3 linked regions of the Diceros bicornis minor genome follow. The protein of the gene in region 1 interacts with the protein of each later gene in a pairwise test. Links are inferred from orthologs where the notes say so. Each region holds a gene or a part of one and is shown in the gene's direction. Other genes may lie near its edges.

Evidence for each region. The genes of interacting proteins can lie anywhere in the genome.
Region 2: the proteins of STAM2 (region 1) and ENTREP1 interact in a two-hybrid assay, tested with the Homo sapiens proteins (2 studies listed by BioGRID and IntAct). The two-hybrid records come from large-scale screens. The link is inferred for Diceros bicornis minor from reciprocal best matches to the Homo sapiens genes STAM2 and ENTREP1.
Region 3: the proteins of STAM2 (region 1) and LITAF interact in a two-hybrid assay, tested with the Homo sapiens proteins (4 studies listed by BioGRID and IntAct). The two-hybrid records come from large-scale screens. The link is inferred for Diceros bicornis minor from reciprocal best matches to the Homo sapiens genes STAM2 and LITAF.

What each region holds. Positions count from the first base shown.
Region 1 is NC_080749.1:36,025,125-36,033,156, reverse strand, and holds the start of STAM2 (signal transducing adapter molecule 2), read left to right. Parts: upstream 1-3,549; 5' UTR 3,550-3,657; coding exon 3,658-3,697; intron 3,698-8,032. Other genes in the region: FMNL2 (formin-like protein 2), read right to left, coding at 3,056-3,074.
Region 2 is NC_080761.1:23,819,171-23,827,202, reverse strand, and holds the start of ENTREP1 (endosomal transmembrane epsin interactor 1), read left to right. Parts: upstream 1-2,990; 5' UTR 2,991-3,040; coding exon 3,041-3,457; intron 3,458-8,032. UniProt on the Homo sapiens protein: Functions as an activator of the E3 ubiquitin protein ligase ITCH in the ubiquitination of the CXCL12-activated CXCR4 receptor. Thereby, triggers CXCR4 endocytosis and desensitization, negatively regulating the CXCL12/CXCR4 signaling pathway.
Region 3 is NC_080765.1:38,395,266-38,403,297, forward strand, and holds the start of LITAF (lipopolysaccharide-induced tumor necrosis factor-alpha factor), read left to right. Parts: upstream 1-3,175; 5' UTR 3,176-3,180; coding exon 3,181-3,400; intron 3,401-6,183; coding exon 6,184-6,340; intron 6,341-8,032.

The sequences.
Region 1 (8,032 bases):
GCTATCACTCAAGGCACGTCATGAAAGCTAGAAATCTTCTATGCTAGCCTTCAAAGAGACCTTCAGAACCATGGTTCCTTTGAGAAATGGTGATTCTAAGACTGGGGCAGAGTATATACAAGATGAGCCTGGAGCATCTTATAGTACCCAAAGGCAAAGAAATGCTCAAAAAAAAAAAAAAAAAGATAGGGACATATTAAATGGACATAGATGTCAACTGAAAGAGCTCCCAGTGACCAAAGCTGGAACAATTAGAGAAAAAACAAACAAGACAACAACAACAACAAAATGTATTATTGGATTACAACTCAAAGTATAAAATAAACATACCTGAGTTTATACTGATATAAATAAACAATTTAATAAATAAGTAAATGGGAGAAAAGAGACAAATTTTCCTTATGGAAGAAATCTGATAATATAATTAGATACTCCTTTATACAGAAGGTGAAGCTAAATTCCCTTCCTTCCCCTTGAAGGTGGCCTAGACTCAGTGACCTGCTTCCTAAGAATAAAGGAGGGAAAAGGAAAAATACTAACTTTAAAGTGGAGGAACTTGGCAAATGCTACATTTACCAAGTGCTGAAAGTTACCATCACCAGGTATCACGTAGATCATGTATCCCCTAAAAGGATGTGATGAGGACACTTCACCTCTGTGGTATTCTTTACAGAACCGTGTAACACCCATCTAAGCACGAGAAAGGTATCGGACAAACCTAGATTCAGGGACAGTCTACAGGATATCTGGTCAGCACTCCTCAAGACTGTCAAGGTCATGAAAAACAAGGAAAGACTGAGAAACTGTCACAAACCAGAGGAGACTAGGGAGACATGACAACTAGATGAAATGTGGTACCCTGGTATGCAGAAAAGAGTTAACATAGCAGGCCTGAGACTGCTATCCAATATCAAGGCCAGCTTGCAAGGTTGGCCCTTGACTGGCATCTGGGAATTCAGATTTTGGGAGAGTTCCCACAATTCCCTGATAAGAATGGCTTATGATGCCTAAACTGTACAAACAATGTGGTTTATGCTGAACACTGGCTTTCCTTCTGGGAGCCTGGAAATTTGGGTGCACGTTAGGTAGAGGGTGCCTGTGTGACTAGCCTGCAATAAAAATCCTGGGCATCGAATCTGCAATGAGCTTACCCAGTAGACAACATTTCACATGTGTTGTCACAACTTGTTGCTGGAGGAATTAAGCATGTCTTGTGTGACTCCACTGAGAGAGGACTCTAGGAAGTTTGCATGTCCAGACTTCATTCACTCCACGTGCCATTTCCCATTGCTGATTTTGTTTTGTATCCTTTCTTTGTAATAAATCATAGTCTTGAGGATGACTATATGCTGAGTCCTGTGAGTCCTAGTGAATCACTGAATCTGGGGGTGGTCTTGGGGATCCCTGGCACATATGCATTGGATCCTGGGAAAAAAGAGGACATCAATGTAAACACTGGCAAAATCCAAATAAAGCCTGGAGTTTAGTTAACAGCAATGAACTAATGTTGGTTTCTTAGTTTTGACAAATGTACCATGGAAATGTAAGACGTTAACAGTGGGAGGAATGGGGTGAGGGGTAACCGAGAACTCACTGTCCTATCTCAGTAACTTTTTTATAAATCTAAAATTATTCCAAAATAAGTTTATTTAAAAAAATAACACTCAAACTAAACGCTTTGGAAATTCATGAAAAATAACATACCACTCTTGGAGACTGAGTACCCACACAGAAAGGTAAACACAGGTAGATTCTTGAGTATGCTTGCCATTAAAGATGAGGAGGAGCTAAAGGAATCTCTTTAACATGTGAATGCTTTCCAAGGGCTAATCCTCAGCCCTTTGCTCTTATTTCAATACAAGCTCCTACACAATATCTCTTCTTATGACTTTCCAGTGCTGTAATAGCCTCCTAAACTGTTCTGTCTGGGTCTGCTTCTTCATATACATCATGTACATTGATGTCAGATTAATATCCAGAAACTCTTTTTAGTATACTACTCTGCCGCTCAAAATCTTTAAATGATTATCTAATGCCTTATATGCTAAAATTAAAATTTCTTAGCTTGTTCCTTAAGGCTCTTCTCAATCTATTTCCTCTTATTTCTATCTAGCCTTGTTTTCCATTCCAACACTAAACCTTAATCCTAGATAAATCCATCTAGACAGTTCCCAAACATATCTTGAACATCCTAGGTTCAATGTTTTTTTGAAAACCAGATCCTTCCACCTGCAAACGTATCTTTCTTATTTGTGCACCTAGCTTTACAGTGTAAAATGCAAACAGCTTTCGGAACTATTCCATGTAAGAGTTCTCTCTTGTATGTATCAAGTCTTTATACCAGAAGTTGTAAGACGGTTCTGTTTGACCCATTGTTAAAATGTTGAAGCAATTCTTAACATTTAAAAATCACTGAAAAACTGGAAGCTCCAGCAGGGCCCACACTTCAACAAATGGCCGAAGTTGACTAGTACCTGCCATCTTCAGAACGCGCTGTTGGGTTGGATAGCCACAGCTACGTGGAAAAGTATTTACTGAGCACCTATTTCTTGCCGGACATTGTTTTAGGTGCTGCGAACAAAATTGATCATGGAGTTTATATTCTAAAGAGGGGAGACAGAAAACATCCTCATTAAGTAAATTATATATTAGGAAGTGATAAACGCTATTGAAAAATAAAGCAGGGTTAAGAGGGTTAGGGAGTGTGGGTGGGAAGGGTGCTTGCACTTTTACATTCATCTAAATACCTGGCTGCATGGGAATTTGAGTGTGTGACCCCTAGTACATATCAGGATTGTCATATACTGTCACGTATATGTTATACACTGCCCCTGTAAAACTGTCAGCAACTTGAAGGCACGGAGTGTGCCTCATTCGTCTTTGGATTCCCACAATCCAGCAGTGTTTGCCCGGCGAGGACACGATGGAAACCGAAAAGTTCAGAGTCCCGACAGAGCCACGGTTACTTCGACCACCGTTTTCCAGGGCGGTTATTCCGGCGGGGTTTAGGCGCCGAGGAGAGCGCAACACCGTAAGCGCCCGAGAGCAAACCCACCTCTGCGCCGAGGCTCCATCCGTTTCCAGGGCAACGGGACTGTGACGCGACCGCGGCCGTGGAGGGACTAGGCTGCAGCTTAAGAACGCACCCAAGGAGCGAGAACTTAGCCTTCCAAACCGGCTGCGCCGCGCGGAGAACACCACACGACCGCGCCCCCTGCCGTGCCGCCGCCGGGACTGCGCGCTTCCGCGCTTCTGGCGTCGCCCCTTTCTAGGCGCGACAACTTCCGGCTCGAAGGTCCCCCGCTCCGTGGCCTGCCGGGGTCCTAGCGATGGAAAGGTGGTCGCGGCGGCCGCCTGACCCCTGTGGGGGCCTGGGACAAGGGCTGCCGCCTCTTCCCGGCGGCGACAGGGGCACTGAGAGGATGCCCGTGGCTGGCGGGACCCCGCCCCGGGAGAGGCTTTGAGGGCGGAGCGCGGGGGCGGCGCGCGGACCCGGAGCTGGCCCGTCAGGCGGGAGCCGGGCAGGTGCGCTGGCGGAAGGGCGAGGACGCTGCCGGAGCCGAGCCGTCTAGGAAGCCTGGGCCGGCCGTCACCCAGCCCGCAGCAGCCGCCGAGCCTCGGCCAGACCGCAGCGACTAGGGCTCGGGCGCAGGCGAGATGCCTCTGTTCACCGCCAACCCGTTCGAGCAGGACGTGGGTAAGTGCCGAGCAGGACGTGGGTAAGTGCTGGGCCTGGGCCCGGGGCTGCTGTTTGTCGTGCTAGAAGGTGAGCGGCGGCGACTCCGGGGACTGGAAAGCCAAGCAAAGGGCGAGAGGGGGGCGGCGCCGCTGCCTCGCTGCCGGGATTTTTCAGGGGGCAGCCTCGGCGCGTCGCCAGCGGCTTGGGGAATGCCACCTGGCCACCTGAAGTTGGAGACCCCGAAGGAAGTCCTTTCTCCTCGCCAGGTGCAGGAATGGGGAAGAGCCTGGGGCTCGCTGGAGACTGGACTGATGAAGCAGTTGCGGAGTTGATGATACACACTTCCTGCTCCCTCTTGAGCTGGTTAAGCATCCCCTTCCCCCCTTAAGAGATGATGCAGCGATGAAGACCCTGCTGTCTAGGGCAGTCCGACTCTAGAGACCTCGACTCGCCCCCATTCAATAGGAAGAAGCTATTTCACCTCGCTTATATGCAAATACATCCAAGTCCTGACAGCCCAGCTTCGGGATTTATTTACAGTGGAAGTGTTACTCTCTGTCCACGGGTAGCGCAAGTGCTACGAGTTGTTCTCTTAGAGTATGAAAAGCAAAACCCTAGGATCTCAAAACAGTCAAGAACAGCTAATAGTATTTCATTTCTTGGCGTCGTAAGAGCGCTGATGTCTCTGACTTTGGAGTGAGAAAAAGTTGGGCGGGATATGAGAATTTCTTTTGGGCATTAGAATAACAGTAAAACAAACTGGCTGAGTAAAGATTTTTGTAGCAATACTTAGCAGAACCCTAGGCAGAGTGTTAGGACTTAGTGGAATAAAAAAAATCATGGCTGAAAATTGCCAGAGTCACACAGAATACTGCACATCGTAGTAGTGAGCCACCTGTTTCATAGTTAAAATTTTCTAATTATGAGGAGATTCTAGAAAGTACCCTATTTTGGTATATTATGGGATCCCCACAGCGTGTTCAGAAGTGAAACATGATGTACGTTATAAGCTCCTTCCATTCTCAGAGAGCTGAGAAATTTTATAATTATATCTTGACCCTTAGTCTTCAAATATGTCGCACAGGTGACTGGCATAAATCTAGGAAGCATACGTTGAGGCTCACAGCTCTGCTTTTGGAACATGTAATGATACTTTCCTTTGTTGCTGTGAGACCTGTACTTTTTATTGCTGTTGTGAAGACTTTCATTGTGTCCTCGTGAAATAAAACAGAAAGGGCAAAATAGAATCAAGACAAATGATTTGCAAACTTAGAAACTGTGAAACTGTTTTTTTCAAGGGAAATCTTTCCCAGAAGCCCATTGTTTTCTGACTGAAAAGGTCTCTGGTAGAAGCAGGCCTAGTTGCTCTGCCTGTTTTGTTTTTCTAAACCTCCCCCTCAGGCTCCTGAGGTCCCAGCATGGTTTAGTGGATCATAGTTTAGTGCCACTGTAGTAAAAGAGGCACTGCTGTTCAGACAAAAAATACTGCTGTGTGTAAATTATTTCCTGGACAGTGCCATCAACCAAAGCATCAAGTATTTATTTGTTAACTCAAATAAGTGTGACTGAAGTCAGTATCCAAAAGGCAGCTTAAGGGTGAAAGGGCGAGTTTGAGGCCTGTTTGTAACTTCTTTTAGACAAGTGAATGGAATTAATCAAAAAAGTGGAATGAAATACTAAGTTTAAACTGGCCTTAAACCTGTATCATAGAAGAAAAACTATATATTACATTTTTCAGAACTTAAAGCTCCTTTTAATTTGAAATAGTTATGTAGTACAAGCAAGTTAATATTTAACTTGAAATGTCTCCAGGAATGTTCTTTTGCAGTGTCATTGTCTTTTTCACCTGCTCTCTTGGATTCAGTCAGATTTTTATTACCGTTGTTTCTTTTTTGTCATACTTGTGTTCATCTTTCATTCAACAAATGTGCATTGAATGATTACAGTCGCAGACATTGTGTTAAGTTCTGGGGACACAAAAGTTTAATAAGTAGACTGAGTTCCTGCCCTCAAGGAACTCTCAATCTGATGGAGGACACATACACACATAAAAAGATAATTGTAATATAATGTGATAAATATGGTACTAGAAATACTCGAGATGCTTTACATTCTCCTGTTATTTAAAGCAGTCATCTTCCCTGAAGAGAAGACAAGGGCCTTCAGGCAGATGCCTTCCCTGTAAAGGTGTTGACACTATCCTCCCTCTCTCCCCACTCCCTGACAGCCCTTTACCTGCAGGAAGTAACCACCTCTTACTATATGTATGCTATGGTTATTTCATACTTAAGGGCCTCTGAAGATGAAACTACATTTCTTTGGTAGGTTCAGAGTCTCCCCAGAGGGTGAGCAGTCTTTCTGACATTCATTTGGGGAAGAAACCCTTTTCTCAGACCCTGAGGAAAGGCTGTAGTGGGTCAAGATGTCTAGGAAGGCTCTCCTGAGTTGAATGGTTGTAGATGACTTGTCATGTGGAAGCAAGCCAAAGGCTAGGATGTAAGGAACTCTGACAAATTCCTTTTTTTTTCTTGGAGTCAGAACCTGCAAACCCTGAAGGGTATGCTGGGTATGGTAGCATTAGAGCTCTTTAAATATTTATTGGATTTCTTCAAATCTGGATTTATTTTTGTTTTCTTCACTGAAATTCCTTTGAAGCTGTGCTGAGAAAATACTCCCACCTGCCCCTGCCCATCCCAGCCCCAAGTCTTAAAGCCTGGTTGGGGCAGCCTTCTTAGGGAATTCCACGGGGAAAGGGCAACGTGGGGGACAGAGCCAGAGTAGGAAGATTTAGTGGTTAGTGTTAAAAGGGAATGTGTCATTTCCGTATATTCTGTACCAATTTTTCCAGTCTCGCTATGTTGGTTCCCAAGTCATAATTTATCTGTTATGCTCCCTGACTCCAGTTCTTCTTCACATATCTTTTTTTCTCCTTACTCCAGCCAGGCAGTCTTTCTTGCTAGTTTCTGCCTCTGTGCCATTTACTATTCTCTGATAGACTTCTGCTTTTTTCCAGCAACCTTGGTATCTCCTTCCTTGAAGATATACTTAATTGTGTCCCACAAAGCTGAGCTCAGATTCTACCTCTGCAAAGCTCTTCTGACACAGTGGATTGAAGTGTGAACCTTTATCTTAGAAGGAGACTTGTCTAAGTGAAATTTGAATGCATGTATTGCTGTGTCTTTGGCTTGTGTTGTGTTTGATGAACTTGACAGTGAGGAGCTTGGGGGCTTTCGGTCATGGGATCTTTTACTCCATGGAATTTTATAAGAAACTCTACTATAAAAATAGATATTGAGGGGCCTGCCTGGTGGCATAGCGGTTAAGTTCTTGCATTCTGCTTCGCCGGCCCGGGGTTCGCCAGTTCAGATCCTGGGCGCGGACCTACTCACCGCTCATCAAGCTGTGCTTAGGCGGCATCTGCATAGAAGAGCTACAACTCTACAACTATGACACACAACTGTGCACTGGGGCTTTGGGGAGAAAAAAGAAAAAGAGGAAGATTGGCAACAGATGTTAGTGCAGGGCCAATCTTCCTCAAAAAAAAAAAAGTAGAGGACACAGAAATACATAGAGTAACCTCAATTTGGGGGGAAAAAAGATATTGACAGCACTCTAGTAATACAAATTTACTTTGTACATTCAAATCTATAACATTTACATTCTTTTTGAGTCAGTTCTTGAACACAGTGAGGTTATAATCTTTGCAAAAAATTAAAATTAAAAATAATTTTTGGTTATGAATAAGAATGATAGCTGTAACAGCCAGTTTTTTTCTATACTTTATTTTGCTTACATTGTACCAAAAATCCTAATATTTTCAGATATTTACAAATTTTAATTAATGTATTTTATAATTTTTTAAACCATGAAATATTTTTAGCATAAAGTACAAGATATAAACTCCTGTTCCTATCATCCAGCTCTCTCAAGTCCTAATATGTTGCCACACTTTATTCTTTTTTTTTAAGAAAACATTCAAGATACAGTTGAAATTATCTGATATATTTAGTAGCTACCTGATCCTATTCTTTTTCCTCCCTTCTCAGAGTTAAACACTCTTCAAAAAGATATAAACTCTATTTTATAATGTATATACTATACACACGAATATACTATATGTATTGTTTTGCATATTTTTAAACTTCATAAAAATAGTGTCATTTTTTTATTTATTTGTTTTTTTAGGAAGATTGGCTCTGTGCTAACATCTGTTGCCAATCTTCCTCTTTTTTATTCTTTTTTCTCTCCAAAGCCCCAGTACATAGTTGTGTATCATAGTTGTAGAGTTGTAGCTCTTCTCTATGGGACGCTGCCTCCACATGGCTTGATGAGCGGTGAGTAGATCCGAGTCCA
Region 2 (8,032 bases), on another chromosome or scaffold:
GCTTCTTTCACTTAGCATTATGTTTTCAAGGTTCATTTACGCTGTAGCACGTATCAGTGCTCCATTTCTTTTATTGCTGAAAATATTCCATGGCATGAATTACCACATTTTGTTTATCCATTCATCCATAATACCGCATTTTGTTTACCCATTCATCCACACTTGGGTTGCTTCTACCTTTCGGCTATTTTGAATAATGCTATTTGTGTACAAGTTGTGGTGTGACATATGTTTTCATTTCTCTTGAGTATATACCTAGGAATGGAATTACTGGGTCAAATGATAACTCTAACTTTCTGAGGAAATGTCAAACTGTTTTCCAAAGCCTCAAGCCAACCTGAAATCAATAGATCTGAATCATCCTCTAAGAGTTTAGTTACAGGGCCGGCCCCATGGCTTGGCGGTTAAGTGCACGCACTCCGCTACTGGCGGCCTGGGGTTCAGATCCCAGGCGCGCACCGACGCACCGCTTCTCTGGCCATGCTGAGGCCGCGTCCCACATACAGCAACTAGAAGGATGTGCAACTATAACATACAACTATCTACTGGGGCTTTTGGGGGGGGAGGAAGGAGGAGGATTGGCAATAGATGTTAGCTCAGAGCCGGTCTTCCTCAGCAAAAAGAGGAGGATTAGCATGGATGTTAGCTCAGGGCTGATCTTTCTCACAAAAAAAAAAAAAAAAAAAAAAGAGTTTAGTTACATACAGCTCAGCTTGATGAGGTCTAAGGACTTATGGTAAGCAAGTGTTTAGGGAATGCAAAGAATCAAGCCTGGGTTACAAATCCAAACCTCAAATACTTGAGTGTTAATACTTGAGTGTTATTTGGCATAATCTTAAAGTTTGGGGCAATGTTACATGGATTTGTGTTTATGATAAGCTGAAAAAGAAACTCACAGCTATAAATGTGGCCGCTAATAAAAAAAGAAAGCTACAGCACAACTCTTAATTAGCAGCTTTAGAAAGGTTTAGTTGCCTGAAAAAATAACTAAAGTTATTGTATAAAACTATCCATGGATTTTAATTACCTCTGCTATCACCTGTTTCTATATAGGGACATACACAAAAAATTTAAGGGCAAAGTACTTAGAAATACTTTAAAGTATTTAAGTATAAAATACAGAGAAATGCACAAAGTGTAACTCCATGAATTTTCTCAGAATGAATCCCACCCATGTAACTAGCACCCACAGCAAGAAACAGATGGTTATCAGCCCCCCGGAACTGTCTCTTCCAGTCATTAGCCCTCCAAAGGGAGGGAGGACATCTGACTTCTAGCATCAACATTCCTAGACACAAAGAATACATTTTTAATAGTACACTTCTGGTGTCAAGGATTAGATCAGTGGAATAGATTTGTTAAGTTGACAGAATTTCTCAAGACTCACTCAGACGTTTTATATTGCACAGTGCAGTAGAATCTTGAAAATTAAATACCTTTAAGCTTGTGTTTAAAATATAAGGTATAAACTCAGTACACAAGAAGCTTTTAATTTAACATCGCCTGCAATTTAAGAACATGTACTGCAAGACATTTTTAAAGTGCATGAAACAAACATACTTGAAACGTTTATTTTAAAAGACAGCTCCTTTTTTCTCCAGGATTTGAAGTTTATTTCCAAGAGGAGTTTGTAAAAGAAGTCTTAGGGACTATTAATCACAGGTGCTTTAAGAATTCAAAAAGTGTATATGTAAACACACATGCACATTAGCAATGTGGGTTGAAGTAAGTAATGACCAAAATAAATACTGTATAGCCTTTGCAAGCAGAGCATAAAAATGGATACACATTTCCCTTGGTTTATTGGGTAGCAGAATGTTAAATACCCTCATCTTCCTGATAAAATGAGTTGCCTGATACTGAGACTGACACTGCAAAATGACACTGCTCAGGTTTTTAACCTGGAAAAAATATATTATAATAGTTTTATGTATAAGAACACTTTCACACATAAGAATTCATTGGAGAGAAAGGTATACTATTAGGGAAAACCATTTTAGAAGGCGAATCATCTTTTTTGTTTTTTAAGGCTCTAATATGTCTTATAAATTACCAAAAACAGATTAGGATTTTATTAGGATATTTCTTCGGAAATTTCAGGATTCTATGTTCTACCAGGTGATACCTAATACAGCTCAGGACTCAAGGGGAGGCGGACACAGAGTGTAACCCTTGCCACACGCTCCAGATCGCCCCCGGTTCCTTCTTTCCGGATGCTGGATACTTACTTCCAACGTAACCTCGTGCTCACTCTGGCTCCTACCCTGGTGCGGGGAAAGCATCCCTGCCCGCTTCCCTCCCCACCCCCTCCCCCACTTTCAGGCGGCGGGCTGCGGCGCAGGGTCAGCGCCCGGAAGCCCAGAGCTAGTGGTCAGTTCGCTCTGCTTCGTCCTTCCCTGAAAGCCGGCAACTTAGACTTTTCCCACCAAGTCACCCATAGCCCCTCCTCCTGCCTTCACCCCCGCCCTGGGGGGAAAAAGTTTAAAGCCGGACTCCCTTCACATTAAAGGTTGCCGGGGGCCCCCTCTTGGCTGGACCGGAAGGGGGCAAGGGTCCACAGCGCTTCTCCTGCGCTCCTGTCCTGCCCCAGCTCGGCGGGTGGGGGACAGCCGTCGGCCGCCAGCTCCGACGCACCCTGACCGCGAAGTCCTTCCTAGCCCGAGGGACCTATATAAAAAATTGGGGCTGGGCACCTTTCCTGGACCCCAGGGAGCGGGCGCAGGTTCTGCCGTGACCCAAAGGCTGCAGCAGCCGCGCGGCGCGAGCGCAGGGCGCGCGTGGGTGTGTGTGGGGGTGACAGTGAGAGTGCGCTGGGAGCCGGCCGGGGGCGGACCCGCCGAGTGGCAGGTGGGTGCGGCCGGCGGGAGCCCGGGCAGCGGTGGCGGCGGCAGCAGCAGCAGCAGCAAGTGGTTGGGCCGTGCGCATTTCTTTCCCTCCCCCTCGGCCTCGGAGCCCGCCCGCGGTGCCCAGTGCGCGGCGCCCGCGGCTCCGCTCCGCGTCCCCTCCCCGCCGCCGCCGGCCGCTCTTTCCCCGCCCGTCCATGTCCCTGCCCGTGGTGCTCCCGGGCTCCTGCTGCCCGGTGGCCGGGCTCTCCGGCGGGCCGCAGGCCGGGGGCCCGGGCGCCGCGGCCGCCACCGCCCAGGAGCCGCCGCTGCCCCCGCTGCGGCCACGCTGGCCCCGGGCCGCGCTGCAGCCCCCGGCGCGGCCTCGCTGCGTGGCCACCGCCGCCGCCGCCGGGGTGCTGGCCGCGCCGCCCGCGCTCTCCTCCCGCCGGGCCGCCGCCGCCGCCGCCGCCGCGGCCCCGGGCGCAGCGCTGCTCCCCGCTCGCCCGCTGTTGTCGCTCGGGCTGCTGCAGCTGATCCTGGGCTGCTGCATGGTGGCACTCAGCTTCGGGGCACTGTCGCTGAGCAGCTCTCCGCAGGTGAAGAACTCGTGCCCGTTCTGGGCCGGCTCCTCGGTGAGTGCCGCACGCGCCCCGCTGGCCTCGGCAGGGCCACCCCAGGAGCAGGGGGCTCTGGCCGGTCCCGTCCAGTGCCCTGCGATTGCCCACCCCAGGGCTGCAGTGACAGAGCACAGTCCTTCAAGCCAGTTGAAGTTTTGGAGGCGTTAAGGCTGGAAAAAAAGGCTGAGAGAGAGTGGAGTTCAGGGGCGAATGGGTTGCACCTAGACAGTGTCTGTTCCTCGCAGGCTAAAGGATTTTATTGTCTCTGTCAAGCTAATACAATAAAACAGATTTCCAGCTTTTTAGGAGTTTGGAAGGATGGGGTGGGTGGCAGGAAATTGGAGGAAAATGATTAAACTTCTGTCGGCCACTGAGTATTTATTTCGCTGACAGTGTCCGTGCGGGGAGGCTAGAGATTTTGATCAGTGTTTGTTCACTAATGTATCAACAGTGCCGGGCACATAGTAGGTTTATTTGTGAGATGGATGTGTGACAGCTTGACTGGGGCACGTCACGTATTTTATTCTACTTGAAAGCACGCGTAAATGTGAAATGTATCTGGTGTCGGATGGCTCCACTGTATTTGGGAACGAGTTCAGGAGTTAATGACAGGGTGTGTGTAAACGCGCGCTTGTAGCTGGCCTTTATGACTGAGGACCCTAATCCCCCAGTCTGTTCCTGGAGCCACGCAGTCTGCTGTCGTTACGCGTGAGCTCGCCAAGGCCCCCAGGAGCGCGCGGCGGCTGGCTGGAGCAGTCTGCCTCCCTCAGCTTCCTGGCCCTGCTTCTTCCACCGGGGACCAGCCTGGAGCTTCTGTGGTCACCGGGTGGCTACTCCTCCCTGCCTCCTAACCATGTCACAGCTTGCAAGGCGTCCAGCCTCTTGAGATTTGCCCCGGGGTTGAGAGTTGGAAACAAGTCTTTGTGGAATGACTGTGGAAGATGAGTGTTTTAAAGTAAAAGACCTTCTTATGAACGAAATCTCCAAGTCTGGCAGCGCCTCTAGTTCTAAGATCTGTAATGAAGGAATGTTCTGAATGCGTAAAAACTGTCCTTTTGGCTGTCCACACATACCCAGATTCAGGACCAAATTTTAAGAATATAGGGAGAACTAATGGAACCCAAAGTAATTCTTTGAAGAAGAACATTAAGTACCTTGAGCCTGGCCTGATGTTTTATTCTTAAACTGGTGCCCATTTGCTCTCCTTAAATACTTGGATACTGAGTGATCTTACTGTGGTACAATCCAGCTCCAGTAACTGGAGTTCACACTCTGTGCATCATGTAAAAGGAATGCTCCCTCCTGGTCCTGCCCTTGGGCTCTCCTGCTGGCCCCCCTGGGTGTTCTTTAAAACTCCAGGAGGAAGGGTATTCCCAACAGGGTAGGGATTTTATCCATTATGCTCTCTAGTCCTCTTCTCAGACTAAATTCAGCCAAATGGTGGGTGCATTTCATTTCTCTAAATACCATAGGCTGGAAGTGAATCTTGCATACATTTTTAGGGATTTGCTTTTTGTAAAATCATAATCTCTTTGTCTTCTCAAATATAGCTAGTTCAGGTTATCGAAAACTAATTTTTCCCTTATAAAATTAAACCCCAAAATTATTGTACAATTGTGAATTATTTCAGAGGTAAATGCACTTAGATGTTAGTCAAGCCACAGTTGGATTTGATGAAGTATATTAAAAAAAGGCCGTCAGCCAGAAGATAAAGGCTATTAACCTGGGCCTGATGGCTGGGCGTCCTTGTCTCCAGGACCCAGCAAACCAGAGCAGGGAAAGACTCGGTGTTTTGGAACTAAGTTCTCTTCTATAGGGTCGTTTTCTACACCTTGCCTGCCAGCTCCACGTGCAAACCGGCAGCTGTTCGTTTTTCTTAGTTTTTGTGGCCTGTTTCTGAGAGTAACCTCAGAATTTGCAGAGTGACAACAGAACCGACAGATGTTGCATCTCTAGAACAATTAAATAGGATGTGAGGATAGCACCAGACACCGTGACTCTCTTGGTGTTTTAGGAAAAAGTCTCACCAGTAGTTTATGTATGTGAGAGAAGTTTTTTTTTTTTAACTTTGCATTATGAAAAATTTTAAATTTATTCAAACACTGTACAGTGAACCGTAATATCCCCCTCGCCAGCTCCAACAATTGTTTCATCCGTACCCCTTCCTGGCTCTAGTGCTGCCTCTCTGTGTTCTGATAACTCTAGGAGGATGGGTGTTCCAAGCGAGGTAGGAATTAGCTCCATCATGCTCCCTAATCCATTTGTCAGATTAACTTCCCATATTATTTTGAAGCAAATTTCAGACATCACATCGTTTCATTCGTAAATATTTCAATATGTTTATATTTTTAAAAAGAAAATGTAAACAGAATAGAGAGACAGCATAGAAGTGACCATAAGAGCCCCCCTCCACTTTTTTTTTTTAAGATTTTATTTACTTATTTATTTTGCCCCCAAAGCCCCAGTAGATAGTTGTATGTCATAGCTGCACATCCTTCTAGTTGCTGTATGTGGGACGCGGCCTCAGCATGGCCGGAGAAGCCGTGCGTCACTGCACGCCCAGGATCCGAACCCCGGGCTGCCAGGAGCGGAGCACGCGCGCTTAACCGCTAAGCCACGGCACCGGCCCCCCCCTCCACTTTTAATATTTCATTATGAAAATTTTAAATCTCAACAAATGTAGAAAAAATCGTATAATGAACCCCCATTTACCCATCACCCTGCTTCCGTAGTTATCAGTATGTGGCCACTTTATATGCAAACTTACACCACTGGATGGATTATTTTAACGTAAATTCCAGGTATCATAACTTCAGGCATTAAATATTTCAGTATGTATTTCTAAAAGGAAAGGGTTTAATAGTTAAAACAAAGGGGCTTAATAGCACATTGTAACTAATTTAAAGACAGCTAAACTAAGGTTTTTATGAAAAACCTTAAAAATGATGACTTGAGGACTGCTAAAGTTTTTTTTTTTTTTTAATTTATTTTTTTCCCCAAAGCCCCAGTAGATAGTTGTATGTAGTTGCACATCCTTCTAGTTGCTGTATGTGGGACACGGCCTCAGCGTGGCCGGAGAAGCCGTGCGTCACTGCACGCCCAGGATCCGAACCCACGCCGCCAGTAGCGGAGCGCACGCACTTAACCACTAAGCCGCAGGGCCGGCCCTGCAAAAGTTTTTTAATAACAGCTTTATTGAGATATAATTCACATTCCATATGGTTCATCCATTTGAAGTGTGCAATTCAATGATTTTTAGTAAATTCACAGAGTTGTGCAATCATTACCACAATCAATTTCAGAAAGTTTTCATCACTTGCCCCCAAAAATACCCTGTGCCCGTTAGCAGTCACTCCCCATCTCTCTCTGACCCCCTAGGCAGCCACTGATTAATCTACTTTCTGTCTGTATGGATTTGTGATTCTGGACATTTCATATAAATAGAATCATACAATATGTGGTCCTTGGTAAAGGCTTCTTTCACTTAGCATAATGTTTTCAAGCTTCATCTAGGTTGTGGCACGTATCAGAACTTCATTCCTGTTTATTGCCAAATGAGATTCCATTGTATGGATATACCACGTTTTATTTTTCACTCAGAAGTTTTATTGGCATATGAAACTAGGTAGTTGAGTGACAGTGCCAACTTAAGTCTAAGGTTACTTCAAACCCACGTAGGAACACAGTAGAAGGATAACCTCATGTTTCAAGCTTTGAACGAGCATTATGCATGTGCCTTAGTTGGCTCTATCCACTAAATCAGCAAATCTTCTTCTGGCTTCAGTAAAAATTTTGCTTGTATATTTGATACAAAATTAAATCCAAGGGACAAATATATTCATTTGAAAGGACTATTGTTAAACACGGTATAGTTCAAGAATGTTTTTCCATATACACCTCTGTGAGTGTTCTCACCTTAAGCCTGAGATTTTGAGGCTGCTTTCACTTGTCTGAACCTTGAAGGTATATTTTATCTATTTTAATATATATTTAAGAATTAGCAAGTCCTATAAAGACTCTTTTTCTGTACTTTACATTCATACTTTCAACAGCATGCAGGGAGTGTTTTTAATATACTCATTGTTTTTGAGCACTCTGTGATCATTTATTTTCTTTTTGGTATCCTTGGTTAATGACTCAATTGATGATTATTCCCAAAATTCATGAAGCTAAGAGATTAGCCACTTTTAAAAGCATCCTGAAATTTGACTCCAGGTGGCGGCAGAGGGAGGATCTTGATGTCCAAGTTCAGGCCGTGCTGTCCTGGCTCCTGATTTGGGCGCGCATTTAGTTATTATTAGTTAGATTCCACAGCGATTGTGGGAGACCCAGCCTACCACACTGCGATAGATTAATGAAAAAGTAGAGAGTTGCATTGGTTTGTGTCTCTTCTTTCCAAAAACAAAATTCCTGACCCTGATGTCATCTGTGATCCTTGGGAGATATTTCAGGCAAGTGGTAGAGAATTGGTGATTGTTTTTTGTTCTTCTCTGGGAGCTCTAATATCCTTTATTCTCTGCATGTATTCATGCCTCTCTGCTTTAAGGCACTGACCTGAACTCAGGGTCACCCCTCCCTTGAGTCTGAGAT
Region 3 (8,032 bases), on another chromosome or scaffold:
TTTGAGGAGAGAAGTTCCGCCTCTCGGCTGAGTCATTGCCTCCCAGTGGTTTGGCCCAAACTATGTGCACAGTTCAGGGCACCCCGAGACTTTCTTTTCCTCCCAGAGCACTCCGTGTGCAGCCATGGCAGAGGGTGCTGTTCTAGGCTTTCTGTGTTTTCTGCCCTTGTGGGTTTTTCTGTGACTCAGTTTTCATAAATAAACGTGTAGGCAGCTCCGGGTCTGCCTTTCCTGAGACAGGAAGGGACAGCGCGTCCTTGACGGTCAACGCACATCTAATTACCGCAGAGCTCCGAGGCCCTGCTCCCCAGCTGCAGTCTCCCCGAGCCCAGGTTGTGCCCGAAGCAGATGTGGGGGTTCTTGGGGCCAGCCGGGAAGGAACGTCAGCCGACTCCGGGGTGAGCCTGGTCAGGAAGTGTCCTGGGGCTGGTATTTGGGGCCTGTCTTCCCTCCGCCTCCTGTATTTCTGTGCCTGTGTGTCTGAGGAAACTGACAACATACCCTAACCACTTTTCACAATTGTTCTCATGTTTAAACCCTGAACCTGTTTTCACCAAGATGTCCTGTGGTCTTGTTAACCCTTCTCCTCCTGCTTAACCCGCCTCTGTAGACGTGTGTGAGGACCCTGGTTTCCTCCACCCACACACAGGGGCCTCCTGAGGTTTGCTGCTTGCTTCTTTTACAGACCTGCTTCATCTACCCTTTCTAGGCTTGGACCTTTCCTCTCTCTGTAACCTTCCATGGCTCCCACTGCTCCATAGCATTGCTGTCCTGTAGAACCAGAAAGCGAGCCACATAGGTAATTCAAAATTTTTTAGCAGGCGGCTTTTAAAAAGTGAAAAGAAACACGTGGAGTGAATTTTAACAGCATGTTACTTACCTGCATCTATCTAAAATATTATCATTTCAACATACAGTCAATATAAAAAAATTATGAATGAGATATTTCACATCGATGTCTTAAAACATTTTTGAAGGCCAGCCCTGGCGGCCTAGTGGTTAAGTTCAGCTCGCTCTGCTTCGGCGGCCTACCTTTGCTTCCTGGGCATGGACCTACACTGCTCTGTTAGCGCCCATGCTGTGCTGGCAGCCCACATACTTAAAAAAAATAGAGGAAGATTGGCACGGATATTAGCTCATGGCAAAGCTTCCTGAGCAAAAAAAAAAAAAAGTTTTTGAAAGCCAGGGTGTGTTTTACATTGACATCATATCCTAAATTGGGTGTTAAAATTTTATCAGAAACATTTGATCTCGATTCAGAGTTCATTAAATTTGCTGTTGAAGAAGTGGATTCACATACCCAAGGTGTCCCACGCTTACGTAAAAGCTTTCCAGTAATTAAGTTGTGTATTAGATTTTAAATTTTAATTGCCTAAACTTAAATATGACTTAAAAATTTACTTTCTCAGTCACACTAGCCACATTTCAAGTATTTAGCAGCCTCTTGTGGCTGCTGGTGTGACCATATGGGACAGCCCAGATGGAGAACATTTCCATCCTTCCAGAAAGTTCCATTGGACAGCACAGGCTTATAAAGTCCAAATACCTCCAGAGGACTTTCAGAATTTTCTGGAAGCTGGCCCCAACCTATCTAGCTTTATTTATTGACTTTGTTTTACACGTGTTCCCTTTCCCATGCCTCTTTTTCTACTTTGAAATGCCTTTTTGTCTCTTCCCCTGGAGAAATCTCCTCTTTCGAGCTCGGCTTAAAGGCAGAGCTTCCTGAAGGATTCTCCACTTCTCCCCACAGCAGAATTAATGACTGCCTCTGCCTCCCACGGGTTCTAGAAGCCGAGGCAGAATGCGTGGGAAGAGGCGCAGGCCGGTCGGAGCCCCCGGACCGTGGCTCGCTGCCCTCCCAGCTCGTTTCCTCACTTCTCCTGGGACAGGTTTGAATGGATCTTCTAACGCAGCCTTAGCCCTGCCCCGCTGGAAAAACAGAGCCACACAAAGGAGGGCACTGTGTCCTCTCCAGCTGCCCTGGGGCTGCTGCGCATGGGCTTCAGACGGGAACACGGCCCGGGTGCGGGAGATGTAATCCTAGGTGGGCATCAGCTCCGTTGGGGAAAAAACCCTTTCTCTGCCCTCACAAAAGGAAATACGTGCCTGGCTGCTCTCATACTCAGTTTTCAACATGGAAACTGGTGTGTGTGTGTGTGTGCGCGCTTTTTAAAAAAATATAACATACATACAGAGAAGTGCACACGTCCTCATTGCACGACTCGAATTTTCACAAAGCGAACGTGTCCATGCACCCAGCCCCCAGATGAAGAGAGAGAACATGAGCAGCCCCCCAGAAGACCCCCCTTCAGCCCCCTTCCAGCCTCTCCTCCGCCTCCCAAGAGTAAGCACTTTGCGGCTTCTAGGCCCATGCTTCGTTTCGCCTGTTTCTGGACTTTGTGTAAACGGCATCATTTACGGTGAGCTTTTTCGGCGTCTGGCTTCTCTCGCTTGGCACTGTAATTGCGATAGTTCCTGATCGGGTTCTGAATGCCCTTGTGTTTTCCGTCCCCCTGAACATGATTAGTGAGACCACAGCAGTTACAAAGAAAGGAGAAAAAACACTGGATGTGAAAGTTGGGTCGCCTTTGGGCAATGGTTTTAAGTGCGAAGAAACTTCTGCTGGAATTTGGCTGATGTTTGCCCTTTGAGATTTTCTCGGTTTTGGTGATTTTTGGTTGTCATTATTTACCTTTTATCTTTATTTAGGGAATCCCTTGTTAAGGTGACAATTCTTGGGTCTCCAAGGAACATTAACCCCCATTCCGGCTATTGAACAAGGCTGGACATGAGTCATTTCCTCAGATTTTCTGGTTGTCAGGTGGAAAATTAAAGATTAGAGTGGAAAAGGGGCCGGCCCTGTGGCTTAGTGGTTAAGTTTGGCGCACTCCACTTCGTGGCCCAGGTTCGATTCCTGGGTGTGGACCTACACCACTTGTTGTCAGCCATGCTGTAGTGGTGACCCACATACAAAATAGAGGAAGATTGGCATGGATGTTAGCTCAGTGATATCTTTCTCAAGTAAAAAGAGGAAGATTGGCAACAGATGTTGGCTCAGGGCCAATCTTCCTTGGGGGCGAGGGGGCGGGGTGCGAGGGGGCGGGAAATGATTAGAGTGGAAAAGAGAGAAATGTCCATTGAGTGTCTGATCTGGTCTCTTCTGGTTTTGCTTTAGGTAAAATGTCTGCTCCAGGATACTACCAGGCGGCCGCTGGGCCTTCCTCGGTGCCAACTGCGCCCCCGTCCTATGAAGAGACGGTGGGCGTTAACAGTTACTTCCCCACGCCTCCAGCCCCCGCGCCTGGGCCAACCACGGGGCTCGTGACAGGCCCAGATGGGAAGGGCATGAATCCACCTGCGTACTATACCCAGCCAGTGCCCGTCCCCAACGCCAACGCAAGTACGTGGGGTCTCCCTGGTCTCCCTACCGCCCTGACCTTGGCTACTCCATGAGAATGAAGACAGTGACCAGGGTGGCTCTGCCTAAGGGTCTGAGCCAAGTGCCAGCCAGTCCAACTTGACCCTTTATCCTGAAATTTCGCATGCAGGCTAGGTTCCGTATCGGTGAGGCCCGTGGCTTTTCCACAATAAGGAACGGTTTACGAGCCTTCCCAAGTCTGCTGTAAGCCCATCCTTGGGCTCTTACCACAGAGGGACAACCAGCTATTCCAGAGAAATTTGGGAAGGGGAGTTTACTTTTAAGGGCCCCCCCTTCCTGCTGAGGTTGGTGGGAGAGCTCTGCGCGAGGCCAGGGCTGGAGGAGGAGAGGGAGAAGAAATAGCCCTGAGTGAGGGAGCCCGCCCAGCCCACCAGCACCATTCGCGCACGGTGCTCCCCTGCCTCCCAGCAACCTCTTCACGACCTTGCCCCTGGGTACCTCCTGCTGCCCAGGTGTGCCCAGTATCACCAGCAGCTCGGGAGGAAATCCCCAGCTCAGAGCGGGGGGCGGGGGGGGGTGCCCGTGAGTCAGGCTGCCTGGGTCACCCACCCTCCTCTGCATCAGTCTCCCCACCTGTAAAATAGTGCTGCTCAAGTACCCCATCAGGGGGTGGTTAAGATTACATAAAGCCCTCTGAGTCACCATTTGATAAAAGTGAACTAAAGTTGTCATTGTGCTCAGCTAACTGTCCCCCCTTGAGATGGAGGAGGACCAGGTAATGACTTCAGACTGTTTCAGATCACGCTCTGATCAATATATAACTCATTCTTGCACTCAAAAAAGACTTAGTAAAATTTACATGTAAGAGCTAAAGTATGCAATACTGCTTTTCTAGAAGGTCTTTCTAGGAGTATGAAGGTCACTTAGCTCTGGGCAGTGGTTAACTTCCCCTAATGCATAGATTATAGAAATGGCATTCCAACAATGTGGAAAGGAACAGAAGGAAGTCACTTTGACAGAAATATGAGGTTAATCAACTTTGCCAAAAACATAAAGAACAGCCTGAACTGGAAGGGCTTCCTGATTTACATCACTCTAGATTCCCTTCTGGTGATTGTGAATGTCTGTACATGTTTTCACTTTTTAGTGTGATTTTATGTGCTCATTTCATGTATCGACATGGCTCCCCGGCTTGTCTTAAAGAACTGGGTCCGTGTTCCTTGGCCGGGTAAACTCCAGCCTTATCTCTGGGTGTAGGAGTTCATGAAGGAGCCCCGTGTGAAAAGAGGGAATTGTTCATCACGGTTCACTCTGTACCAGGCACCACATGGGGTTCTTTACCACCCTTATCTCGTTTAATCCTGGCAACAACTCTGTTCCTTCCATTTTTTAAGTAACAGCTTTTTTGAGAGAGAATTCTCATACCGTAGAGTTCCCTCTTGTAAATGATATATGATTCACTGGTTTTAGTATATTCACAGAGTTGTGCAACCATCAGCACTAATTCCAGAACATTTCCATCAACCCAGAAAGAAACGCTGTACCGGTTAGTGTCACTTCCCATACCCCCTTCCCCAGCCCCTGCAACCACTAATCTATGGATGAAGAAAATTGAGGCCGAAACCCATCACATCGCTGTTTCTGAAATTACCACCTGCAGACCACCTTCGTAGAACCACTCAGGGAGCTTAAAAAGCAGTTTGGGGACCCTGCCCCAGACCTGCCGGATCAGACTGTCTTGGGGGGCAGGGCCCAGGACTCTGCATTCTCAGTCGGTTCCCTCCGTGATTGCACGGAGAGTCGAGTTTGAAAGCCTGGTTTAGCTGAGCCAAAGTCCTCTTCCGGGAGCACACAGTCTTTTCCCATCTCGTATGTGGAGGTTTTGCGAGCCCCTCAACTGATAATTCTGGAAATCTGCCACTGCTTCTTCTCGTGTTGTCATTTTTCTCCCCACCCCAACTTTTGTTTTTTATAAAATACACATAACATAAAATTTATCATTGTCAAGCATTTCTTTTTTGTGTGTGAGGAAGACCAGCCTTGAGCTAACACCCGATACCAATCCTCCTCTTTTTGCTGAGGAAGACTGGCCCTGGGCTAACATCCGTGTCCATCTTCCTCCACTTTATATGGGACGCTGCCACAGCATGGCTTAGCGAGCGGTGCGTCGGTGCGCGCCCAGGATGCGAACTGGTGAACCCTGGGCCGTCGCAGCAGAGCGTGTGCACTGAACCGCTGTGCCACCGGGCCGGCGCCATCAAGCATTTCTAAGTGTACAGTTCAGTGGCATTAAGTACATTCACACTGTCATGCAACCATCACCACCATCTGTTTCCAGAACTTTTTCATCTTGCAAAACTGAAACTCCATACCCATTAAACACTAACTCCCCACCCCCTCCCGCCAGCCCCTGGCAGCCACCATTCAACTTTGTCTCTGTGACTTTGACTCCTCTAGGTGCTTCATACGTGGAATCATACAGTATTTGTTCTTTTGTCACTGCGTTATTTCACTTAGCATAATGTCCTCAAGGTTCCTCCACATTGTGGCAGGTGTCAGAATTTCCTTCCGTTTTAAGACTGAATAATATTCCATCGTGGGTAAGGGTAGATCACGTTTTGCTCATCCATTTATCCATCGATGGATACTTGGGTTGCTTTCACCTTTTGGCTCTTGTGAATAATGCTGCTATGAACGTGGATGTGCAAACATCTGTCGAGACCCTGCGTCTGCCTTTCTGCCATCTAATGAGTGTTTTCCTCGTTTGCTGATCAGCCTGTGTCTGGTGTTCTTCTTTCCATCAGTTGCCGTGCAGACAGTCTACGTGCAGCAGCCTGTCTCCTTTTTTGACCGCCCAGTCCAGATGTGTTGTCCTTCCTGCAACAAGATGATCGTAACTCATCTGTCCTATAACGCCGGTGCCCTCACCTGGCTCTCCTGCGGGAGCCTGTGCCTGCTGGGGTAAGTCCGTGGTCCACTCGGCCCCCGGGCTCTCTCACCTTCCTCTCTTGTAGGATTTCTCAACTGCAGCACATACTTCTGTGTTGTGGGGGGCCTTCCTGTGCACTGTAGGATGTTGAGCAGCATCCCTGGCCTCTGCTTACTAGATGCCAGCAGCACCTCTTCCCCTACTGTTCTAACCAGAAATCGTCCTTCTGGAGCATATCAGGGCCTGGATGCCGTTGTCCCAGCCATCGTTTCTCCTTGCTCGTCTGCTCAGACCACTCCCTGCATGTAGGGACACGCACGGCAGCCGCGTGCATCTGTGTAGGCTGAGGCTGTCAGGGATTTCTTTTGCTTCTAGGATTTCATGACCTAAATAATAATGTTTGCCTGACTCTGAAAGAAGCGTTAAACAGTCCGTACATTAAAATACTTTATAGTCATCTCTTCAAAACTTCTTATCTTTTTATGACCTCAAGTATTTTTCCCGTTGCCCGTACAAGGAGAGTGTGTAAATATTTATGTCTGCACCAAGGGTATTATATTGAGAGAGAGAGGAGTTTCTGTACTGGGAGCAATTTGAAGAAACACAATTCAGTTTTTTTCCCCAAACGGACAGAGGCGGCATCCTTCTTCCTGGCCGTGGAGTCACTCCGTGAAACCACAGGCCCTCTGTTTTCTTCCTTGAAGGAAACGGTGTTTGTGCGTTTCTTTTCAGGAGTGCTTATCTCTTGTACAACAGCTGGCTCGTTCCTCATCTCCTGCTTGTGACTCAGGTCGGGCAAGAACGGTATTTCTCTTCCTAATTTCCAAGAGAGGCTCAGAGCCCCAGAGAGCTTGATTAACTTCCTTGAGGACACGTGTTCAGGGGGCAAGAAATGAGACCGAACAGGTTTCTTGGCTCCCGATTCCCTGTCCTGTCTAGGGGAGTCCACTGATGGCTGTCATCTTCACTCCTCGGACAGAAAATGCTAAATATTTGCCTTTAGACATTTATATTAAAACTAATTTTTATCTTTGAAATCAGGGAAAGACAGAATGGAAACGTCTACTGAGCGTCAGCCTCTGCTGATCTGGCTTTCAAATTGAGGCAGCTTTTCTGTCCCTCCCTCCTTTTTCTTCCTTAAATATAGTACCGTGGGTTCAAATCCTGCCTCCCGCTGCTGTGTGACTGTGGGCAAGTGGGTTCATCTCTCTGTGCTCCAGTTTGCTGGTCTGTAAACTGGGGGGTTATAATGCCTACCTTGGGGGGTTGTTGGGGATAAAATAAGTCAGTGTGTGTGCAGTGCTTCATGGAGCCATGTCTGCCCATGTAGGCTGTAGATTAGGAATCTCTCTAAATGGCCTGGCTGCCCTATTTGAATTCGGGAAAGCTTACGCAATAGGAGGAAATTTCTCTCACGAGGACGTTTCCTCATCAGGGTATTTCCTGATTCTGCTTTGTGTAAATCAGTGTCTTCCTGTAAAATGTTGTTTTTTAACTACGTTTTTGACAAATGTTGCTTGTAAGGCTGTGTGGTGTTTTCTGACACCAGCCAGCTCTCCAGCGCCAGCTGGGTGTCCAGTGATTCAGTTCAGTCTGACACTCACTACCTGGAGTTAGCACAGACCCCACAGCTTAAGGGCTCAGTCCCACAGACTGCCCCCACTTCAGACGCCAGTCGCAAGTCTTGGGCCACCTTCGCTTCTGACCAACCAGCTGTAATTCGG